Mus musculus: one gene and its partners. The protein of the gene in region 2 purifies or fractionates together with the protein of the main gene of each other region. This does not show direct contact. Links are inferred from orthologs where the notes say so. Each region holds a gene or a part of one and is shown on either strand. Other genes may lie near its edges.

Region 1 (6,049 bases), on a different chromosome or scaffold from region 2:
CCTGCTTCGTGCCGGGATCCCCGAGAGCCATGCAAATGTCCTACGCCATCCGATGCGCCTTCTACCAGCTGCTGCTGGCCGCGCTCATGTTGGTGGCAATGCTGCAGCTGCTCTACCTATCGCTGCTCTCTGGACTGCACGGCCAGGAGGAGCAGGAACAGTATTTCGAGTTCTTCCCGCCGTCTCCGCGATCCGTAGACCAGGTAAAGTCTCAACTCCGCACCGCACTGGCCTCCGGAGGCGTTCTAGATGCCAGCGGCGATTATCGCGTCTACAGGGGTCTATTGAAGACCACCATGGACCCCAACGATGTCATCTTAGCTACGCATGCCAGTGTGGACAACCTACTACACCTGTCCGGACTTCTGGAGCGCTGGGAGGGTCCGCTGTCCGTTTCAGTGTTCGCGGCCACCAAAGAGGAGGCGCAGCTGGCCACGGTGCTGGCCTACGCGCTGAGTAGCCACTGCCCCGAGATGCGCGCCAGGGTCGCCATGCACCTCGTGTGCCCCTCGCGCTATGAGGCTGCTGTGCCCGACCCCCGAGAACCTGGAGAGTTTGCCCTGCTGCGGTCCTGCCAAGAGGTCTTTGACAAGCTAGCCAGGGTGGCCCAGCCCGGGATTAATTATGCACTAGGGACCAACACCTCCTATCCCAATAACCTGTTAAGGAATCTGGCTCGGGAAGAGGCCAACTACGCCCTGGTGATTGATGTGGACATGGTGCCCAGCGAAGGGCTGTGGAGAGGCCTGAGGGAAATGTTGGATCAGAGCAATCACTGGGATGGCACAGCCCTGGTGGTGCCTGCATTTGAAATCCGCCGGTCCCGCCGAATGCCGATGAACAAGAACGAGCTGGTGCAGCTCTATCAGGTGGGCGAAGTCCGGCCCTTCTATTATGGGCTGTGCACGCCTTGCCATGCGCCCACCAACTACTCCCGCTGGGTCAACCTGCCAGAGGAGAGCTTGCTGAGACCTGCCTACGTGGTGCCCTGGAGGGACCCCTGGGAACCATTTTATGTGGCTGGAGGAAAGGTGCCCACATTTGACGAACGCTTTCGGCAGTATGGTTTCAATCGAATCAGCCAGGTACTTAAAAGGGAGAGGGCATGTAGGACTAAGACTGGAGGCGTGTCAGGGGTGAAGTGGCCATTGGTGGAAAGGAGGCAGTGAAGCAAGAAGAAAGTGGTTGGATGATGGAGAATTGAGGACAGTGGAGTGGAACTTTAGGGATGATCATGTGGGCCCTGGGGATATCATTAAGTTATTGTGATTAAATCACTGTGACCTCTCCCTGTCTCTCTCCCTCTCTTCCCTCTCCCCTCCTCTATCTCTCCCTCCCCCCCCCCCGCCCCTTTTCCAGGCTTGTGAGCTGCACGTGGCAGGGTTTAATTTTGAGGTGCTGAACGAAGGTTTTCTGGTTCATAAGGGATTCAAGGAGGCATTGAAGTTCCATCCCCAAAAGGAGGCTGAAAACCAGCGCAATAAGATCCTTTACCGCCAGTTCAAACAGGAGTTGAAGGCTAGGTACCCCAACTCTCCCCACCGATGCTGAGTCCTTGTCTTCCATGGTCTGAGAATTGTCAGTATCTGGCTCCAGGCCTGACTGGGGTAAGAAACATGCCTCCACTTTACAGAGGTAGCTATGGGTTTGGAACACTGGACTTGACTATGGGGTGCTGGGAGTCAAGTCTCAGCTTTACCACTAACTAGCTGTGTGGCCTTGAGCAAATACTATTACTTCTCTGAGCCTCCGTTACGCCGTCTGTAAAAAGGGAGGTGAAAATACCTACCTCACAGAACTGTTGGCTCAGATGAGACGCTGTATGTGTAAACATCCTGTAAACTTCGTACAAATGTGAAGTATTATTAATATTGCTACAGTGTTATTATGATATTGTTACTATTAACCATGTTGGGTGGATAGCGGCAGAGCAAAAAGTTTGAATGGGCTAGAGGTGGGAAGCTTGAGTGTTTAATAAAATGAGGCTTTTGGAAAGAAAGATGAAAACGTAGAATGTAGTGCTAAGAACGTTTCCCGTTCTCTCATGCCTTCGCCCTCCGCCCTCCGAGATCCCTGAAGGAGGAAAGAGATAAAGGTTAAAGTCCCAGATCTGTGCCCTCCAGTAGGTTGGGCTGCTCATTTGCCTTCGGATGACATTATGTAAATAAACGAATGTCACACCCACAGCTGGCTCTGTTACTCTCCTAAGCCGAGGGGTGGTGGGCCGGAGCACCGTGTTAGACGGCGGTGGACCCAAGGACACCGACCACAATGCTAGGACAGGCTGAAGGCCTGGGTTACTGGGGGCCAGTTGCTATGGAGACCCGTCCGCCGTATCCCGGCATGCCTGGACACCAGTGGTTCCATTGTAAGCGCCACAAATGGGCGCCTCCTGATGACGCACACGGAAGCGTCGACACCTCCTGGAGAAAGAGAATCCTGCGCAGCACTGTTCCGGAGATCAACGGCGGCGGCGTTCACACCCTGGGTCGGACAGCTCTCCGGGAGTCCTGGACGTGAGGCCGGAGGCCCCAGTGTCTGCGGTGCGTATGGCCACGCCCGGCGCTGGGTTGGGCTTTCCGGATCGGAGCTAAAGCAGAGACTTAACCGGCCCGACTCGCGCGCTGGCCTGAGAGGAGCCCGCGGTTCCGAGGGTGGATCGAGGTGGGATAGTTCCTTGCGCCGCAGAGTTTGTCCTCTGTGTCTGTAGGGAGGGGTCTGCTTTCCCTGGAGGTTTGCTGTGGAGGTGCTTATACACCGCGCGTTTACCGTGTGCCTCTTCCACTCCCTACAACCCTCAGCAATGGTATATCCCCTATTTGTACCCGGGTTAAGGAGGGACGATTGGTTGTGACTTCATTTAACGAAGTCAGGATCAGAGTCAGCTGGAGGAAGGAGATCCTTGAATTCATCCTGCGTCTTAGAAAGAGTATATACAACGGTGAAAAGGAATTGCCAGTGTGGAGGGTCTGAGGCGTGAAAAGGGGAACAGTGAGGCTGTTTTGGAGATCTGGATTTTCAGAGCAGGAGGAAATGCTACTAAACTCTCCTGCAGGTCCGGCGCTATAATTACTTGCATGGGTGTGAAGGAGCGTTACTCCAAGTAGGGTTGCCAAGAAGGAAAAGCCAGTTTCTATACTGCAAAAGTTTATGTTGTTTAATTTGGGTTTAGAAATTCCCAGTCATCAAGTGAGCTGGCACTGCACTGGGCGAGTAGGACAGCCTGCTGCCCTGTCCTGATGAAACACCCACATTTCACTGGGTGGTCGGACATGAGACTGGGAGAATATGAGATAAAAAACAAAGAAACCTTTAATCCCAGCACTAGGGAGGCAGAGGCAGGCAGATTTCTGAGTTCGAGGCCAGCCTGGTCTACAGAGTGAGTTCCAGGACAGCCAGGGCTACACAGAGAAACCCTGTCTCGAAAAAAACAAAACAAAAAAAAACTTCCTGGGGGAAGGAGTTATGCCTTCCCCATGGGAAAGACTTACAGAGCAGCAACCAGAGATGTAGAAATCACACCAGTGTGAACTAGAAGCATCTACATCCAAGATGACCTATTCTCTCTGGGGGCCTGGCAGTATCAATCTCTCGTTGTCTCCTTCCTTCTGAAAATACCTTCCACCCTAACTCTTGGATTTTCAATCTGTTCTGCAGAGGTTTCTCCTCCTGCCTCCTTTGTTGACCTTGGGAATTCCAACAGAGGCCCCTTCTCACAGTTCCGCCTGAAAAGTCAGACTGCACAAAGCCTAAATAACTTGCCGTATGTAGCTAGAGGAGCCTGGGTCTAGTGGAAGTTCACATGCCTGTGTCCCTGGTCCCTTTTCTCACTTCTAGGTCTTTGTACTTGTTTTTCACTCTGCCTGGAATGTTCCATCTCAGGCGGCCTGGTCCTCACCTAGTCTGTCTCCCTCTGGAAGCTGTCACTGTAGCAGCAAGCTCCAGCTCCTGTGTAGACACCTCCCATAACACCTTAATTTGACTCTCTTCACACCATTATAAAGGTCTGCTTCTTTGCGTTTCTCCCAGAAATTTGTCATTTCCTCGAGGCCAAAGGCTGTCATAGCTATACTGTAGCATCTGCCACAGTCCACGGTGACTGTTGGTGCCTGGCACACTTTAGGTGCTTAGTAAATACTGGATAAGTAGGAAGAAAGGTAGGGGAGGGGCTTAGTGTTCACTGTTTCTGAAAGGTTACCTAAGGCAAGCACTGGCAAATGTTGGTGTTTGCTACAAGGAAATTGATTCGTAATTCTGCCGCAGTGGTTTTAGTGTGAGTGCTGGGTATCCAAACACTGAAAGAGGAGGAGGTGAAAGTCAGAATAGCAAGTGTGCGCAAGGCCCAGAGAACTACAGAAAATTAACTAAACGGGGCTGTTTCATATTTCTGCATTCATTCTTTTACCTACTCATTTGGATTTGACACAGCCTCACCAGCTATTGCTAGCCTGAAACTAACTGTATATCAGGCTGGGCTTGAATTTGTAGTAATCCCCCTGCCTCCTGAATGCTAAGATAACAGGCCTGTACCACCTCACTTGGCTTTATTTTTTTATTTGTGTTTGTTTTTTCCAGAGAGATCTAGTCTAGGTGCCTCTTCAGACAGCAATCTACCACTGACCTGTACCCCCAGACATACTGCTTTTGTGTCTTTTTAAGACAGAGCTTCGCTGTCTAACCCAGAATGGCCTCCTGCGTCAGCGTGTGGATTATGTATATGAACCTCATCAGGCTCTCTCTGCTTTTTAGTTTTTTTTTTCTCTCCAGTACTGGGAATTGAGACCTAGAATTGAATTCTAGAAACACCTCGAACTCAGAAATCCGCCTGCCTCTGCCTGTGCTGGGATTAAAGGCGTGCGCCACCACGCCCGGCCTTCTTTTCCTTTTTTTAAAAGATTTGTTTATTTTATGTAAATGAGAACACTGTAGCTGTCTTCAGACACACCAGAAGAGGGCATTGGATCCCATTACAGATGGTTGTGAGCTACCATGTGATTGCTGGGAATTGAACTCAGGGCCTCCGGAAGAGCAGTCAGTGTCCTCTTACCTGCTGAGCCGCCTCTCCAGCCCCTCCTGTTTTTCCTCAGGAAAACCCTGAGCTTCCGCATCTGAACTTCCACAGAGGAAGGTGCTTCCTGTTCACGTCCTTAGGAGTGCTAGGGGCTTAGGATATTGCTCAGTGGTAGTTGGGGCTCAGCATTTATGGGAATCTGAGTTCAATCCTTAGTCCTTCACCAAAACAAAATAAAAACCTGAGTCAGGGCCATTTATGAAGAAGGGGATTTATCTGAGTGGAGAGAGGCAAGGCTGTAATCCTGTTGCAGCTTGGACAACTTAGTGAGACCAAGTCTCAAAAAAGGCTGTGAGCATCGCTAAATGCTGGCTTTCCCAGCATGCTTAAGAATCTGAGTTTACTCGGGAGGCAGAGGCAGGCAAATTTCTGAGTTCAAGGCCAGCCTGGTCTACAGAGTGAGTTCCAGGACAGCCAGGGCTATACAGAGAAACCCTGTCTCGAAGGGGGAAAAAAAAAAGAATCTGAGTTTAGCTGAGCAGTAATGATGCATTCCTCTAACCCCAGCATTCCAGAGGCAGAGGCAGGCAGATCTCTGTGAGTCGAGGCCAGCCTGGTCTGCAGAGGAATTTCAGGCCAGCCAGGGCTACACAGAAAAACCCTGTCTTGGAGAAAAAAAAAAAACCAAAAACAAAACAACAACAAAAACCAACCAAACAAAAAAGAATCTGTTTAATCCCCAGTATCAAAAGTTTTTCTAGTGGACGTTGGTGTTCCTAGAGAAATGGTTCAGCAATAAGAGCACTGGCTGGTCTTCCAGTTCCATTCCCAACCCCAACTTTGTAACTCAAAACCGGCTGTAATTTCGTTTCTAAGAAGTCTGATGCTTCCTTTGCAGGCACCGCACACACAGTGCAAAGACAGAGGTGCAGGCAAAACACTCACACACATAATGTTGAAGTTATATATGTAAAATATGCATACTTCTCAGCGCCCTGGGAAGACAAGGCTGTGGAGCTTGTGCCTGACAAGAGCCTT
Region 2 (4,659 bases):
TAAAAAGAAACCTTAGGGTTCAAATTTAAACATAGGATATGAATTCAATGTTGCATTTGTAAAGAAATGCATACTTTGTACCTGTAGAATTTCACTATCTAACAGATCAATCAGAAAGCATGTACCTACGAGTAATATAATGCTGCTCTCAAGCTAGAGAAAATACAAGGACAAATTTGTGGGCAATGCCACCTCTCCCTTTTAAGTTAAAATCAGCAGGAGCTAACTTATTTAGGTCACCTTCCCTGCAATTTGATGACAAGACCCAGAGAATTGGAATTTTTCTTCCTTTCCTGCCTGCCTGCCTTCTCCAAGATACTACCCGCCCGCCCACCGCTTCCAATTCCTCCCCTCCCCCATTTCCTTAACAGTATCGCCAGATTGCTAATGTTACAACATTTTAATAGTGGAAAGAAACATTGCATCTTCTGAACAGTGGCCTGTTAAGATGATTTTTAGTCAGCCACCTGGGCCTATGCATTTTACTAATACTTAGCTGCAGTTTTTCTGGACTCACAGTCTTTGAAAATTTTTCCTTTACAGGCAAGGCATCTTTACATTTGTGACTATCATAAGAACTTAATTCAGAGCGTTCGGAACAGAAGGAAGAGGAAAGGAAGCGATGATGATGGGGGAGACTCGCCTGTTCAGGACATCGACACTCCAGAGGTAGATGGCAGGCTTTTCCCCATGTTATATGTAAATCATAAGCATGCTGGCAATCCCAACACCATTCTGTAAATATTTGAGCTCTTCTTTAACTGTTTAAAGCATCTGAAAAATCTCAAAAGTTATATACAGTCAGTGAAGATGTATTTATACTAATATTAAATCTCAGACGACATTCTTACAGCTCTTGACATACAACTTCCTCTTTTGTTTCTCCGGAAGTTTACAATATGTATCCCCCAAAGATGGAACTGTTTAATAAAGTACAGGTCTGAGTGTGTAAATGAAGTCATTGTGTGAAGTGTCATAATACAGATCAATGATATCTTTTCAACAGAGTGAACTAACTCATCTATTTTTTTTTTCTAGGTTGATTTGTACCAATTACAAGTAAATACACTTAGAAGATACAAAAGACACTTCAAGCTTCCAACCAGACCAGGTCTAAATAAAGCACAACTTGTTGAGGTATATATAAATAAGCTTTATACTGTTTAAACAATCCTGTTCACACCAACAAGGTATCATTAAGTGATGATGAAATAGATGAATGTAGTATATTAAATAGTATATTGCATGTAGTAAAGTAAAAGTTAATAGGTGTATTGTGGAATGTAGTTGTTTAGAAACATCTATCTGCCACCTAGGAAAGCTCTCCAGTGAGTGCTCAGTGGATTACATTCAGAGTATATACAGTGTCTTTTAATGTTGATTTTTCAGAGTAAGCAATGAGAATTTTTTAATCATTGTTCTAGAATCTTGTTTTAAAGGGATGGACTATACATGTGGATTGGAATATAAATGGAATATTTCCATTGAGGGATGGAAAATAAATAAGCTTACAAGTATTTGTTAGAATGTAATTTTCAAAGTTTCTGCAGGTGAGCCCTGAAACAGGATTTCCCTTGCTTTCTAATTTTACTTTGAGATACACTTGCCTTTGTTAGTAGTTGTTTTTAAGTAAAGGATACTTTCTTTACATCAAGAGAAAGAACAAAAATAAGGCTTTATGTTAAAGTTAAAGTTTGCTTGGTATGGGACTTCAGTTCCTTTGGTATGTTTTGGAAGCTAGTTTTGTGTGTGTGTTGAAGTAATAAAGCCACAAAAATCTGTGAACTTTTAAAATACAGATTTAAATAATTATACTTTATATCTAAAGCAAACATTTCCACTGAGTAGACAGATCAAAATATGTATGTATGCATCAACACATATATATTTATGTGAGTGTTCTTATATTCTTCAGCATGACATTAGTAGTTAGCCTACATTTCCAATGTGTATAAATAAATGATAAATATGAGTTAGAATTTTTTTAGAAAGCTCTATAACATTAAAATTCAGTATGCTAACTAGCCAAATTTTCTTCTATATTTCTTGCCTAGGCAACAAAACTATTTTTCTTTAAATTTATTTCAAAGCTATCATCCTTTTTCTGCTGCACAGTACATATATATAGACATTCCCTACTATAATGAAAATATAATAGACACTAGTGTAATTATCCCTATTCTATAACAAATAGCCAAGAATTGATACAAAGTTGTATTTAAATATAGAACTCAAATCTCAAGCTCTTTTTTTGTTTTGTTTTATTTTGTTTTGTTTTCCAAGACAGGCTTTTTCTGTTTAGCCCTGACTGTCCTGGAACTCACTTTGTAGACCAGGCTGGCCTCTAACTCAGAAACCCACCTGCCTCTGCCTCCCAAGTGCTGGGATTAAAAGTGTGCGACACCACTGCCCGGCTAAATCTCAAGCTCTTAAAATCAGGTCTTATAAACCAGTTGTAGTTCAGTGGATTCTAGAAAAAGGCAGTCTTGAGTCTGAGCATGCGTAGTATTAGCAGCTCAGTTTCTTATCTGTTTATTCTGATGTACATGTTAGAACTGTGCAGTAAAAGACAGGAAAACAGTCCAACATCCTTCTAGCTCCTTGAGGTTTCCATTCTTAAATTTTATTCATAAAAAATTTACAAGAAACTTAAGAGTTAATATCAGTTGTACCAATGGTATTTATGGTACAGTTTGTTACCAAGAATTTTTTTTCCTTATATTACTCTTTTTCTATGAATACAGTCTAAGCCCTCCCTCATATGATGGACATTAGTTTTTTTGTTTTATTTCATTAATATTTAATGTTTAAGAATATGTAGTTTGCAAACTAAAGTTTAAAAGGAAAATACTTATAACAAGTGCACATTAATTAAGTAGACCAAAGGGGGTAAAATACTCAAAGAGTGTATTAATTGTGGAGACTAACGGATCCTTTGAAGTCAGGCTGTCTTTTGTTTATAATATCTTGTTTTTATGTGCTTTGGAGCTTGTTAATATTTTGTTAAGACAGATTAATCTTTAAAAGTATCTTGTGGTCACACAGCACTTTGGCAAAGTTGTATCTTACTCAGCTCACAGCATCTGCTACATCTAACCTTTAATTTGTCCATTTTTTTTAATTTGTAGATAGTTGGTTGCCACTTTAAGTCTATTCCAGTGAACGAAAAAGACACCTTAACATGTTTCATCTACTCAGTGAGGAACGACAAGAACAAATCGGATCTCAAGGCCGACAGTGGTGTTCACTAGGAGAGATGCTGTTCACACTAGCCCATAGATGTCTGCCTGGAAAGAATGTTTACTGGTTTTCAGATGTAGAAATGTTCTTGTGTATTTTTTCTACCGAGGATTTACTTTGACTTTTTTTTTTTTTTTAATGTTGTTGTCATTTTTGATTCTAATAATTAGTTGGAAACTCATAAACTGAGCTTCCTAGATTACACATATTTTAAATAAAGGTTATTACTATTATAGCTGCTTCAGCCTGTTTATTTTATGAAACTTTGTTTTTGTGTTAAACTTTTTGGGACTGGTATTAAGATTTCAGATAAAGGTCATTTTGTAAGCTTTTCTTACAAATTCCAAGTAATTAAAGGTAAAGCAGGAATGACAGACATGACCCCCTCACCTTCCCTAGGTGGATTTGATTTGCAATTAAGCATTCTTGTTTTTGTTTTGTTTTGTTTCTCCGTGTAACCCTGGATGCCCTGGAATTCACTCTGCACACCAGATTGGCCTCACACTCAGAGATCCTCCTGCCTCTGCCTCCTGAATGCTGGGGTTAGAGGCATGCACCACCGCCACCAGGCTAGCATTATTTGTAAAGTGCTTTGTGATGTATGTTAGCAAATTTGAAAATTAGACTTCCATTGATTTTTTTCAACCACTTTTAAATTTCCCCTTATGTATTGGTATTCTTCCTTGGAGACCTATGCAGAAACAAAGAATTGGTTTTGTGCCCTTCTTTTTCCAAACACATACACCCCAACTTCCTAGCAAAGTCAAGCATGGTGCTTGCTGAAAGTGGCCATGAGGACTGGAGTTAATTACTTCTTCAGACTGATGTGATATAAACATAGAAATGAACTCACACTCTGCTGTTGGCTTCGCACATCCAAACCGATGGTAATAAAACTGGTGTGTTGTGATTGTTTATAATCCCAGCATCCTGGAGGCTGAGGCAGGGGGAGCACAAGTTAGGGGCCAACCACGCTACATAGCAAACCTTGTCTCAAAATGAAACCATAACTTGTCTGAGGTTGGAGAAGTCAGGGTGTATAATGAACTCATTGTTTAAGGGTTGGTATTGCTTTATATTTACCTGGGCTTCATTCCATCAGTGCTTTATTTGTAGTGTCTTTTTCTCTTGGAATTATATTGCTTTGCTAACAGCTTAGCATCACACATCAGGGTCTTAGCTTGTCACGTCAAAAATGAAAGCAGCTCCAGGAAAATGTCCTAAGGATGCTTTGCAAACTTCAGGCTGGAAATGGGTAAGACAGCAATGTAGCTCAGACTTCTTCAAGGTGAAGGTTTGAACCCGTGACGTCTTGGCTGTAGGAAGCTGTCCTGTGTTGTAGCAAGGTGAACAGCGGCACTCATGACATTGATCTGTAAGTGCCAGTAGCTCTGAGATGTAATGCTGAAGATTACCTCT
Region 3 (5,500 bases), on a different chromosome or scaffold from region 2:
GATAGGTGCATAGGGTCTTCGGGCAGCCCTCCTTGGCTGTAATAGATCTCGGCACATTCGTCTGGCTAGACGAGTTAGCTTTGTGGTCTGGAGCAAGAAAGTTTGCCTGTTCTTAGCCAGCAACTTGGCCCGGTTAGCACTGGTTGTATAGGGGGAGAGACTTTGGGCTTCAGGTCTGGATAAATGACCTCTTGAGTGTGGCTCCTAGAGGAATGACATATGAAAAAGAGAAATCAACAGTGCAATTCTGTCCTCTGTCTCCTGCAGACAGCCAACTGTTTCTACCTGACCTCTTCAGTGAAACCCCGCCCAACCATCCTGGCTTCCCAATACTTAGCAGGTGCTCCTACGCATTTGAGTGTCTCCATGGAAGAAGAGGTCAAAGGTTTTCTGGCCTTTGCCTAAAGCACTCATAGGACCACTACTCTCCCCATCCCCACGTGTTCTTGCAGTTATTCTTTTTTGTTTGTTTGTTTTTTCGAGACAGGGTTTCTCTGTGTAGCCCTGGCTGTCCTGGAACTCACTTTGTAGACCAGGCTGGCCTCAAACTCAGAAATTCGCCTGCCTCTGCCTCCCGAGTGCTGGGATTAAAGGCGTGCGCCACCACGCCTGGCATCAGTGATTCTTTTCTATTTGTTGAGACAATATCTAAGTATGTAGCCCCAGCTAACCTGGAGCTTGCTTTGTATACCAGACTGGCCTCTAACTCACCCACCTGCCTCAGTCACCATGCCAAGTTCCCACCCACTGATTCTTACTGTGGTGCCCCGAGCAGCCCCTTCAAGTTGGGTAGGGGTCTTCAGTCCCCCGTATTTCTTCCAATAAATCCAACAGGAAGCACAAAGTCGGCACTGCATGTTAGGGGGTCCCCAGGCATACCACTGGGCAGACTGTGTGGCTACAAGAGTAGAGAGAGAAGGGAAATTTGCTGGCAGGAAATATGCCACCCAAGATCCTCAAATTCCCAGGACAGAGAATAAGCCACCCTAGGACCACCTATCCCCAGCAACCCTGTCCCCCCTTGGAACTCACTGTGGCAGCTCTCACAAGTCAGGCCCTTCTGGAATCCAGCCCCATTCATGCCAGGTTTTGAACCCACAGAAATGATCTGGTTAGGGTTTGGCTTGGTACTAATGAACGAAACAAGAGGAGAAGACAGAAGCTAGTTAAGAAAACAACCCACTTGTGTCTCTCTTACCACCACTTTACTTTCTATTTCCGACTCTCTGGAGTTCTGGGGATTAAGCCTACAGCCTTGTGCATACTAAGCCCATGCTTCTCACTGAGCTACAGCTTCTACAATTGCTTCTGCTTCCTGGTTACCCCCAATCATTAAGGAAGACACCATCTCCCTTTCTGCCACACTTACTAAGTGGGGATGTAGACCTGTTTCAGTTTGCTGTCTGCTTCAGCAGCTTTCAATCTTTTCTGTAAGAAGGAGAAAAACAGAAAGAAATTCAGAGCATCTCAGTACAAATTGAAATCAAACAAAAGAAACAGCAGAGAGGTAAGCAGATAGCCTCTGGTCCAGCCTCCCAGCCAGCCTGACCCATACCTGCTGAATATACCGGTCTGTGGTTTTCCACATGTAATAAAACTGGACTATGCTTGCAAGTGACTTCCAGGGTAGCTAAAAAGAACAGCAAACAGGATGAGATGGCATGTGATCCTAGCTCCATCGTCGTTCTCCCTCCTCCTAGTCCTGTTCACTTACAAAGTCCTGGCGGATATCATTGAAATCCTTCCCGTACTTCTCCAGAGCCTCTTCAAACAGCATGGCTTCAGAAGCAGACCATTCCTCCATCTCATCCCGACAGAGCACCGGGCCTCCCTGTGGTACTAGGGTTGACATAGCCTTGGCCAAGTCATAGCCATTCCTTTGCAAGGTATCCATGGCATGGAACTACCAAAAATATAGAACAAAGCTAAGGACTTGCTACTCTTTAAGCACCTTCTTCAGGACTCCCGCCCTCCTCTCCTGCCTCAACACGCCCAACTATCTATCAGCTGGCACTTACCAGAGTGATATCTCGGGACGCAGCAGCTGCACTCATGTGCAAGCTTGGCTGCCGAATTGAGCTGCTGCAGTCTAGGGCTCTCGCGAAGGTTCCCACAGCTCTAAAGAGAGATTGAGAAGTCAAGAAGGGTTCTCCCCTTCAAAATTCAAGCAGGTTCAGGAACTAATTAGAAAAAGAAAATGCCCAGGCCTAAAACAAAGCCCACTTTAAAAAAAAAAAAAAAGAAAGAAAGAAAGAGAGAGAGAGAGAGAGAGAGAGAGAGAGAGAAAGAAAGAAAGAAAGAAAGAAAGAAAGAAAGAAAGAAAGAAAGAAAGAAAGAAATTGGATGAGACGCAGAACTCAGTCCATTCCTCCCCAGCCCACCTTCCTGATCCACCCACCCTCACCGGGCCACCACGAGAAACTGATCAATCTGCCGGTCTGTGAGAGGGTTGTCTGGGTCCCAGACTTTCATCTCCATCTTCTGTTGGTTTCGATTATCTGATTCTCCTGAGGAAACAACAGAATCACCACGGAGGGAGAGAGGGAAATAACTCATAGTCACTCACAATGGCTCTTTTTCCTCTGCTCTGCTTGGAGTCTATCAGACCTCAGAACTCCCCTCCCAGCTGTGCCCACTTGTCTCTCTCATGTTCCTAAGTCTCACCCTGTCAGAGCCACAACACAACACCTAGCAGATTCCACACTGGTACCCCAAATCAAGCTATCAACAGAAACTTTCATGTTCAAGCACTTCTTGTTCTGTTGCTTACCCTCTGCCAAACGATCTGGGATCTCAGCTTGGAATTTGCAACCAACTCTGATCTCCCCTTGATCAGCCAGAAGTGTCTTCTGCACAGGATCAAACACCAGTGAGTAAAAAAAGCAGTCCTGAAGAGGAAGAGAGGAGGTTAGTGGGAAGGAATCTGCATGGACAGTAAGGTCTCTCCAGACACAGACACACACAGACACACAGACACACACACACACACACACACACGGCTGTGAGGTCCGTGGCCCCTTTACCACCTCACTTGCCTTTAGGGGCAACATTCTCTCACCTCCCTCTTATCCCAACAGCTCCTCACCTCCTTGTCTAGATACTGGTTTAAGATGTCTGTCTCGTTCAAGAGAGTCACGCTGCACTTCCCCCTAAGAAAAAGGACAAACCCAAAAGTCCTGGATGAGCAGCCCTCCTTACCTGCCATCTCCAATACACCACCCCCTTCTCTCCATCTTCTAAACAAGGGCACATAGACCACAGTGACCCTGATCGTCCTATACCTTATGTGGGTGGCTGGTAATGATTCAAACTGCCGAGAAAGAAAAAGCTCTCGGTGCTTCAGTTGATGTCTCTGCTGCTCGGAGACCCCTGGCTGTTTTGATTCCTCCTCAAACTCCCCTAGAATAGTGAGGAAAAACCAAGTCATAAACTAATTCAGAAACAGGTACCTTAGCCAGCTAGCTAGTCTGGTAAAGGAGAGCCTACCTCAGCTGCTGCCCAGCACTGCTTTCCTCGGGCAGCTCACTCTTATCCTACCAGCCCCCCCTTTCGGCCTTACACCTCAGTGTAGATGTTCCATCCTCTCTTTAATTCCGTCAAAGGAATTATCCCATCCTTATACTGTGAGAGTATAAGGATACCACAGAAATGCACCCAACCCTAGCTGCCAACACGCAGAAAGCACAAACAGAGCCATAATACAGTGTGACATCATATTTAGCTCTTTCTTGCACAACCAGTCCGAGGTCCTAAAATCCAGTTAAGAAGAAGTAAAAATAGCACACATGGTCGCTGTTTATTTACCAGCTCCTCTTCATACTTCAGGACTCCTTGCTGTGTCTGAAACATCACATGCAACCTAATGCTCCTTCTCTTTCTACTTGGCTAATAATAGTTTGTGGGCTTTCAAGAAGGGCAACTCTGAAACCAGTGCCAACACCTTCCTCACCAAGAGGCACCAAGAGGCCTGCACTGAAATCTCCGTAGAAACAGTTAACCTGGCTAAGTGCCAACCAAAGTAGAAGACAGAAACCTCAGGCACATGCTCATCGGTGCATTGTTCCCCTGAAAAATGGGGGTACAGATTTGGGGTGGGGGTGTCCGTGTCTCTCTGTGCTCTAGGAAAACCCAGAGGTAGGGCAAAAAGAACCACACCCCTACCCCTTCTGATTGGATAAGGCCAAGGTCAGCCCCTGCCAGATGGAGCCGGAAACCCCAAAGGGCCAGGAAACTTGGTAGGCCCAGTTCATTAACCCTTTCATGACTGCAGCCTGAAAAAGAATCTAGGAGGGAAAAAGGGAGTTAAAAGAAAACTAAGTGATGCGGGTAGTGCTGGCACACGCCTTTAATCCCAGCACCAGGGAGGCAGAGGCAGGTAGATTTCTATGTTCAAGGCCAGCCTGATTTACAGAGTGAGTTCCAGGACAGCCAGGGCTACACAGAGAAACCCTGACAAAGAAAAAAAAAAAAAAAAAAGGAAAGAAAAAAGATAAAACTAAGTGAAAAAAAATTACAATATAAAGATCATAGAGAAAATGCAGACAAAGCAAAAATAAGTAAAAATGACACTAACTGGAATGGAGAGGAAAAATGGTGAAGGCAGGGAAGTCCAAGAGAACTGCTCCTAGCTTATCATCTCTATTAATGTTTTGGCATCGCCTCCAGACTACAGCATAAGCCTCTCTGTTATGCAGACTTCTCAAAACAGTATCTTCCTCTTCACCTTGGCCATCACTCACTAACCACTGTCCCAAAGTACCCAAAATGTCCCCGAGTGCCTGCTTCTCTAAAGCTCTTTTCATTTCCTATCTAAATATCTCTCCACTCACACACATAAGCCTCATTTTGGCTTTCCTTATCATGGTCTGCCCGCCCTGCTTCCAACCCCAACGTGTAACAACAGGCCTCCCTCCGCAGACCAGGCACTTCCCACCCCCCCCCAAACTCACACCCTCCCTTGGGCATGCTGCCAGGGGAAACACCTGCAGGAACATGTCTAGTCCTCAGATCCTGGGGAAGGGAGATGGGTAAGGAATGAAGACACTCACGAGCATTACTGTCAGCCAAGCTGTTGAGGCTACTAGAAATATCCCTTCGCCGGAAAAGACAGACAACCTTTGCTTCCACATTTCCATTTGCAGTCTAAAGGAGGGAGAAAAACCGAGAAGGAAAATTGGCCATTTGAAAGTGGAGATGCATGCCGGGTGTGGTGGTGCACGCCTTTAATCCCAGTACTCGGGAGGCAGAGGCAGACGGATTTCTGAGTTCAAGGCCAGCCTGGTCTACAAAATGAGTTCCAGGACAGCCAGGGCTACACAGAGAAACCCTGTCTCAAAACAAAACAAAACAACAACAACAACAAAAGAAAGTGGAGGTGCTGGGGGGAGGTGGGGGAGTGGAAGTGCGCAGAGTCAAAAGCAATATCTCCTTAAGGGTCTAAGTAGAAGAGCTAGAAAAACTTAGCAGTAAAGACTTAATACTCAAAGATAATTTCAGAACC
Region 4 (5,994 bases), on a different chromosome or scaffold from region 2:
GTATGTCAATGTAGGTGTGTGCACAAGTGTCAGAGTGCCCAAAGAGGCCAGGAGAGGGCGTTTGGTCTTCTGCAGCTTACAGGTGGTTATGGAACACCTGGCATGAGTGCTGGGATCCCATTATCAAGATTTTAGGAAGAGCAGCAAGCAACCCCAAAGGACATATTTCTAAAGCTTGGCATAGGAAATTAATTGTCCTCAAAGCAGCCTTAAGAAGTTGGCTTCAGATTTTTTCCCATTGAGGCTGGAGGAATGGCTCAGCAGTTAAGATTGATAGCTGTTCTTCAGGACCCTGGTTCTATTCCCAGCACCCACATGGCAGCTCACAATTCCAGTTCCAGGGGATCTGGCACCCTCACACAGACATACATAAAGGCAAAATGCCAACACACATTAATTAATCTTCAGAGAGAGAAAGAGAGATCAAAACAAGAGAAAAATATTTTCCCATTTAAAAGTTTATTTTAGTTGGCTGGCAGTGGCATGGGCCTTTAATCCCAAGCATTTGGAAGGCAGAGGCAGAGGCAGGTGGATCTCCAAATTCAAGACCAGTCTGGTCTAAAAAGTGATTTGTAGGACAACCAAGGCTACAATGGAACCCCTGTCTTGGGGAGGGGGGTGGCATTTTATACCTGTGGAGGCAGCTCAGTGGTACAACACTTATCTAACAGGTGCTATATCATGGGGTTCAAAACAAGCATAGCAAGTTTTGAGGGTGGGCATTTAAAACAGGGCTGGCAAGATGACTCAGCCAATGAAGCCTGACCACCTACCTGAATTTGATCCCTAAATTCATGTGGTTGAGGTGACTATCCCCAATAGTCACCTGGCCTCATATATGAAGATACACACACACAGATGTTCTTTAAAATCTCCAGCCACCCACAAAAATAAAAGAAGGCAGTGAAGACCTTGCTTTTCTTTCTCTCTTAACTCATTCAAATCTCTCTTAGAAACATCATTTGATAATAACAGAATCATTTAGTTCTACATGTGTGTATAGACTTTCCTAGGAAGCTGAAGTCTTGCAGTAAGTAGTCTACTTAAAAACAAAACAATGTTTGCAAAGTACCTCATGTTATTTTCACATGTCCCTGGAGTCACCCAAAGGAAAGCCAAGGTTGTAATATCCAAGGTTTTTAATTTTCTTGACACACTCTCTATTCACTTCAAAAATTATTATTTCCCAGTCAAGGCCACATCTAGATGAAAACAAGCTAACTGAAACACAGGATTAATTGTGAAAGTCGCAACAGATATGGTGTTGCTGGGCTGGATGTCTAGACTGCAAGCAAACCCCAAATACCAAAGAAGCATCCATGTGTCAAACGAGCATAATTTTTGAGCTATGCCTGGAGCCACATACCAAAAAGTTAGCTTGAAAAAAGTGTAAGAGGGTAAGTAGAAGGTCAGTCCCAGTTCCCAGGAATTGTGAAACTAGCAAGGGCTCCCTACACTGGCAACTTCTCCCAGCATCCTTTATCTCGGAAAGGCCCTACTCCCCAGATGCAGCAGTTCTCAAGGTTATCTAAGATTTATCTGAGTCCTGCATACTTTAAGGTCAAAACACAAAACATCCTCAGAATACTTTAAATGCATTTATGCTTTGCGGGGACTCAAAAAACGAACCCCAGACTTTCGCGTTCAGTTTTGCAGCACAAAAACCATTAAAATGATTTTCAAGTCTGACAAACTTCAGTTCAAAAGCAGATGTTTTCCGGACACTGCTAGAAACAAGTTTTACGTCCACCTCTCACTAAAAAAGTTGCCGGATCCTTCTTTAGAAAGCATTAAGAGAAGACCAAGAGCCTACTTGAAACGAACTCCTAACATGGAGGGGGAGGGGGGACACGGTGCACGTCTGGCTCGTAGTCATTCTTCACCTGCAATAAGGAAAGGTGAGAAGAAAAATAACAAGAGGCGGACTGGGGTGCTGGTTACCAGAACTGCTCCGTCTTAAAAGCCGCCCAACCCAACCTGCCCTGCGCCTCGCCGGTCGCCCCACGTGTAAACACACAAAGGCTGCACGCACCCCCAGTTCCTCAGTCTCCACTTCCAAGAGGGGCAAGAGCCGGCGCCCCGAAACTTCCCCGCGTGTAGTCGGAGGTCCTGGGTAGGGCGCGGAGCTCCACTCCTGGAGGGAGCCCAGCGCTCCGGGGTCCCCGGGCACCACGCGCCATCCGCCGCCCTCACCTGCGCTGGAACAACGGCCCGCGCCCCGCCGGCGCCGCCCGAAGGCCGCGCCTCTGCTCCCGGGCCGCTCCGCACGCTCGGCCTGACGTAATTCAAACATGGCAACAGTTCCACTTCAAAGGCGGATGCACGGACCTCCCAGACGCGGCCTCCCGTGCCTCGGAGCCCCGGCCACGCGTGCGTCCCGCCGAGCAGCGCTCCGTCGCTCCGCATGGGTGACCCGCAGGCCGAGGCGCCCCCACGGACACAGCCTCGCTGAGCCGCCGCTGAAGTTTCCGAGAGGACCTAAGGGACAAAAGCCGCCCCGCGCCCCGCCCGGCCCGCGCCGCTCGGGCACACGCGGCCCTTTGTTGTCCGGCGGCATCGGCGACGTCGGGGCGACCCGGACCCGCGCCCGGGGACCCACGCGAGCTCGGGTATCCTGAGCCACTGGTCCCTGGGGCCAAACTTTTGCGGAGTCCCGGATGAGAAACGCCCAGAGGTCCCCGCCGCCGTGCATATGCTGCGAGTTGGCGACTTTCGCTGTGCTTTGGAAACTGGCAAGACGCCATCACCAGGAAATCACATTGTCCTGCTCCCGACAGCCCCGACGGCGACCGCAGCCCGCGGCTCACTCCGAGCTGGACACTGAGATGTAGCACGGTCGCGGCCCTAAGCACGTGGCTTGTCAGGTGAAGCACACACAACAAAAAGGGAAAAAAAAAAAAAAAAAAAGAGTTGGGTGCCTCAAGCAGCGGACCGCGCCGCCGCCTTCATCCGCACTGTTTGGTGCCGCGGGCCACGGCCACCCCTCCCGTGTCGCCCGCACCCACGCTACAGGTGACCAGACGGACAGCGAACTTTGGGCTGCAGAGACCACTCGGCACCGGCCGAGTGCAAAGACCGCGTGCTGCGCGCTCATTGTCGCAGCCGCGTCCCTGCGGACTTCTCCAACAACGCCACGCCGCGTGCGTCGCGCCATCCCGGCGCTGGCCCTCACCAGCTGCCTTCAGCCTGTGTGGCCGCCGGCTCCAGGAACTGGCAAGTTAGTTTCCGAGCTCCGGCTTTGTTGTTCACCCGCGTGCAAACACCGTCGCGAGCGCCGGGGTAGCGCAACACGCGGGTGCACGCGGAGCCCAAGCCCCTGGCCAGAGCAGAGCCCACACGGGATCTGCGACCCCGACCCTGCTCTCCGGGTCTGCAGGAAACACTACGACCTAGAAAAGTCATTGTCACTTTCAGCGTGGATGCAAGTCCGCCGCAGCTCGTTCGTTTCCACGCTGCACTCACTTTCCCCACACCCTGACTTTCGGTTTACCTCAAATATCCTCCTCAATTAAGAAGCGCATCTCCAACGCCTCTGTACAAAAGAATCTGGAGTCCGGAGAGCACGAGGGCAGCGCTCCCCGCAATGCCATCTCCAAGACAAAACTTCCTGTGTGTTTGTGTATGGGAAGGACGGAGGAGGCGGGGGAGGTAAAGGGAGGAAAGAAAAAAAAAAAATCACAGAAAACAAAACCTCGGAGACAGTTTTGCACCGATGTCCGGACTAGAATCACTCACCTTCCACGCGCAGCAGCGTCCCCACGGTGCAAACTGCACCAGGCCAACCTCCTGCAAGCACTCCCTCCGCCAGCGCCGAGTCCAGAAAGATTGTCTCCAGCAGTTCTTCAGTTGCTACCGCGAACGGAGGTATAGATTCCGCTTTCCCTCTGCGCAGGCGCGGCTCCCGGGACCAAATTCTCTTGAATCGAGCTGATTTGCATACGGGCGCGTGCGCGCCGCGGGCTGGGCGGGGAGAGGGCAGGGCGTCCGCGCGCGTTCCCGCGGCCTCTATTGTCCTTTTAAGGGGAGAAGCGGCGAGGCGCGGGAAACGCGGCGGCCCGCGGGGACGGGGGCGGGTCCTGCCTACTCCGCAACGTCACGTAAACAAACGCCCTCCCCAGCCCCCGGGGGAAAAGGAGGCGACGCGGGGGCGTGGCAGGACGCGAAAGGTGTAAAGGTGAGCGTTGTCCTCACCGAATGGCACCCCTTAGGAAGCTACTGAGCTTGGAAAGTTCTGGAAGCTGCTTTTGCAGCATTCGCGCACCTATGCCCAGTTTCTGGCTTGAGGTGGCAGAGAAAGTTGTCGTGGAACCACTCAGTTTGTACTTGTTCCTGCCTTTCCTAAACTCTGTTTGAAGGTGAGCTTTACATTTTGTCTTTCAGGGCCTGCCTGGCTTGTGAGACTGCTCAACTGGTACTTTCAAGTCTGATCACCTGAAGGCAATAACCAACTTCTGCAAATTCGCCCCGCGCACCACATGCACACACAAATTAAAATTTCAATTCTCCAACAGAGTTTTCGTTCTTTGGGGCTTTGATGATAAATTGTTTAATAAAGTCGCATTTTGAAATGGTCCATTCAGTAATTCCGTCTTGTCCCTCTCAAACATGACCCAACCCATAACTGAGTGGTTTTGCTTTGCTCACTTGAACTGAAGTTTTCAAGCCTCTGCGAATTTCATGGTGGTAATTACCGTGGGAATGGTGCCACTTTCTGAAAACACACAAATCCTCCAGCCGTGAAGAGCTCCTCTGCCCAGAAAAACCACTTGTGAGGGGAGAAAGTGGAAGCAAAATACACACTATTCCTTGTGGAATATACGATAATCGAACATCAAAATGTTTCTAAAGAAAACCTAAAAGGGAGGTGATTGTAGAAGAAAGGGAGTAATCTAGAGAAAACAAAGAATAGGGAGGTTCCAGACAATGAGGAGGGAGGAAAAAGGAGGAAGACGCTTAAGTAACTTTTCAGATGAAAAAGTAAGAAATGAAAATATAATTGTGATACTCCTTAAGCCCAGCGACCCATAACACCTGGTTCAGTGATCCTGGGAGGATAGGTAGGAAAGAGAATGTTTTTTCACCAAAACTTGATACTGGTCCTTTGCTGCAAAGTATGGAAACCAACTATAAAAACAAACAAAAAAAAAAAAGACAAGATTCACTGCTTTTGCTGTATGCAGATTCAAACAAATATTTCTGAAATGCTACTTTAATTCAATAGCCAATTCCTAAAACACAGTTTAAACCTACTTGTGAAGACCTCAACGTTTTTTTTTTTTAAAGTTCTGTAACACTCTTCCTGTAAAGGAGTAAAATAAATAAACCTGACAACTGTCACTAAAATACAACTCTTAAAGGCAAAGATTTTTCCCTTATGTTTGTATTCAGGCACCTAAAACAATGCTCACCACATGATGGATTCTTAGTAACTGCTTATAAAATATACTTGAATTTTTAAATTTTCCTATTGGTTTATTGCAAGTTAAAATACCTTACAGTTTTTGCATTTGACCTAAAAGGAGTTTGGGGGCTTATAGTGAACTTTAATTGACATCTTTGTCCTTAGGTAATAAAATTTTACAGCTTTAAGAATTTTTTTTCCGGGCTGGTGAGATGGCTCAGTGGGTAAGAGCACCCGACTGCTCTTCCGAAGGTCCGAAGTTCAAATCCCAGCAACCACATGGTGGCTCACAACCATCCCTAATGAGATCTGACTCCCTCTTCTGGAGGGTCTGAAGACAGCTACTGTGTACTTACATATAATAAATAAATAAATCTTAAAAAAAAAAAAAAAGTTTAAAAAAAAAAAAAAAAAAAAAAAAAAAAAAAAAAAAAAGAATTTTTTTTCCAGCCAGCCTTGGTGGCACACGCCTTTAATCCCAGCACTCAGGGAGGCAGAGGCAGGCAGATTTCTGAGTTCGAGGCCAGCCTGGTCTAAAAAAGTGAGTTCCAGGACAGCCAGGGCTATACAGAGAAACCCTGTCTCAAAAAAAC

What was found.
Region 1: the proteins of Sap30 (region 2) and Brms1 purify together in Homo sapiens (affinity purification with mass spectrometry; 3 studies listed by BioGRID and IntAct, with this or other methods). This does not show direct contact. The link is inferred for Mus musculus from reciprocal best matches to the Homo sapiens genes SAP30 and BRMS1.
Region 3: the proteins of Sap30 (region 2) and Mta2 purify together in Homo sapiens (affinity purification with mass spectrometry; 3 studies listed by BioGRID, with this or other methods). This does not show direct contact. The link is inferred for Mus musculus from reciprocal best matches to the Homo sapiens genes SAP30 and MTA2.
Region 4: the proteins of Sap30 (region 2) and Sinhcaf purify together in Homo sapiens (affinity purification with mass spectrometry; 4 studies listed by BioGRID and IntAct, counting the BioPlex papers as one, with this or other methods). This does not show direct contact. The link is inferred for Mus musculus from reciprocal best matches to the Homo sapiens genes SAP30 and SINHCAF.

Annotation. Positions count from the first base shown.
Region 1 is NC_000085.6:5,038,948-5,044,996, forward strand, and holds the start of Brms1 (breast cancer metastasis-suppressor 1 homolog), read left to right. Parts: upstream 1-2,415; 5' UTR 2,416-2,543; exon of another isoform or gene 2,544-2,664; intron 2,665-6,049. Other genes in the region: B4gat1 (beta-1,4-glucuronyltransferase 1), read left to right, coding at 30-1,085, 1,360-1,551. UniProt on the Homo sapiens protein: Transcriptional repressor. Down-regulates transcription activation by NF-kappa-B by promoting the deacetylation of RELA at 'Lys-310'. Promotes HDAC1 binding to promoter regions.
Region 2 is NC_000074.6:57,481,520-57,486,178, reverse strand, and holds the end of Sap30 (histone deacetylase complex subunit SAP30), read left to right. Parts: intron 1-543; coding exon 544-669; intron 670-1,038; coding exon 1,039-1,137; intron 1,138-3,128; coding exon 3,129-3,251; 3' UTR 3,252-3,477; downstream 3,478-4,659. UniProt on the Homo sapiens protein: Involved in the functional recruitment of the Sin3-histone deacetylase complex (HDAC) to a specific subset of N-CoR corepressor complexes. Capable of transcription repression by N-CoR.
Region 3 is NC_000085.6:8,943,655-8,949,154, reverse strand, and holds part of Mta2 (metastasis-associated protein MTA2), read right to left. Parts: intron 5,143-5,500; coding exon 5,049-5,142; intron 3,400-5,048; coding exon 3,282-3,399; intron 3,150-3,281; coding exon 3,086-3,149; intron 2,889-3,085; coding exon 2,771-2,888; intron 2,508-2,770; coding exon 2,405-2,507; intron 2,119-2,404; coding exon 2,019-2,118; intron 1,904-2,018; coding exon 1,715-1,903; intron 1,631-1,714; coding exon 1,556-1,630; intron 1,429-1,555; coding exon 1,370-1,428; intron 1,131-1,369; coding exon 1,033-1,130; intron 899-1,032; coding exon 759-898; intron 205-758; coding exon 1-204. UniProt on the Homo sapiens protein: May function as a transcriptional coregulator. Acts as a component of the histone deacetylase NuRD complex which participates in the remodeling of chromatin.
Region 4 is NC_000072.6:148,942,557-148,948,550, forward strand, and holds the start of Sinhcaf (SIN3-HDAC complex-associated factor), read right to left. Parts: upstream 3,915-5,994; 5' UTR 3,736-3,914; exon of another isoform or gene 2,033-3,735; intron 1-2,032. UniProt on the Homo sapiens protein: Subunit of the Sin3 deacetylase complex (Sin3/HDAC), this subunit is important for the repression of genes encoding components of the TGF-beta signaling pathway.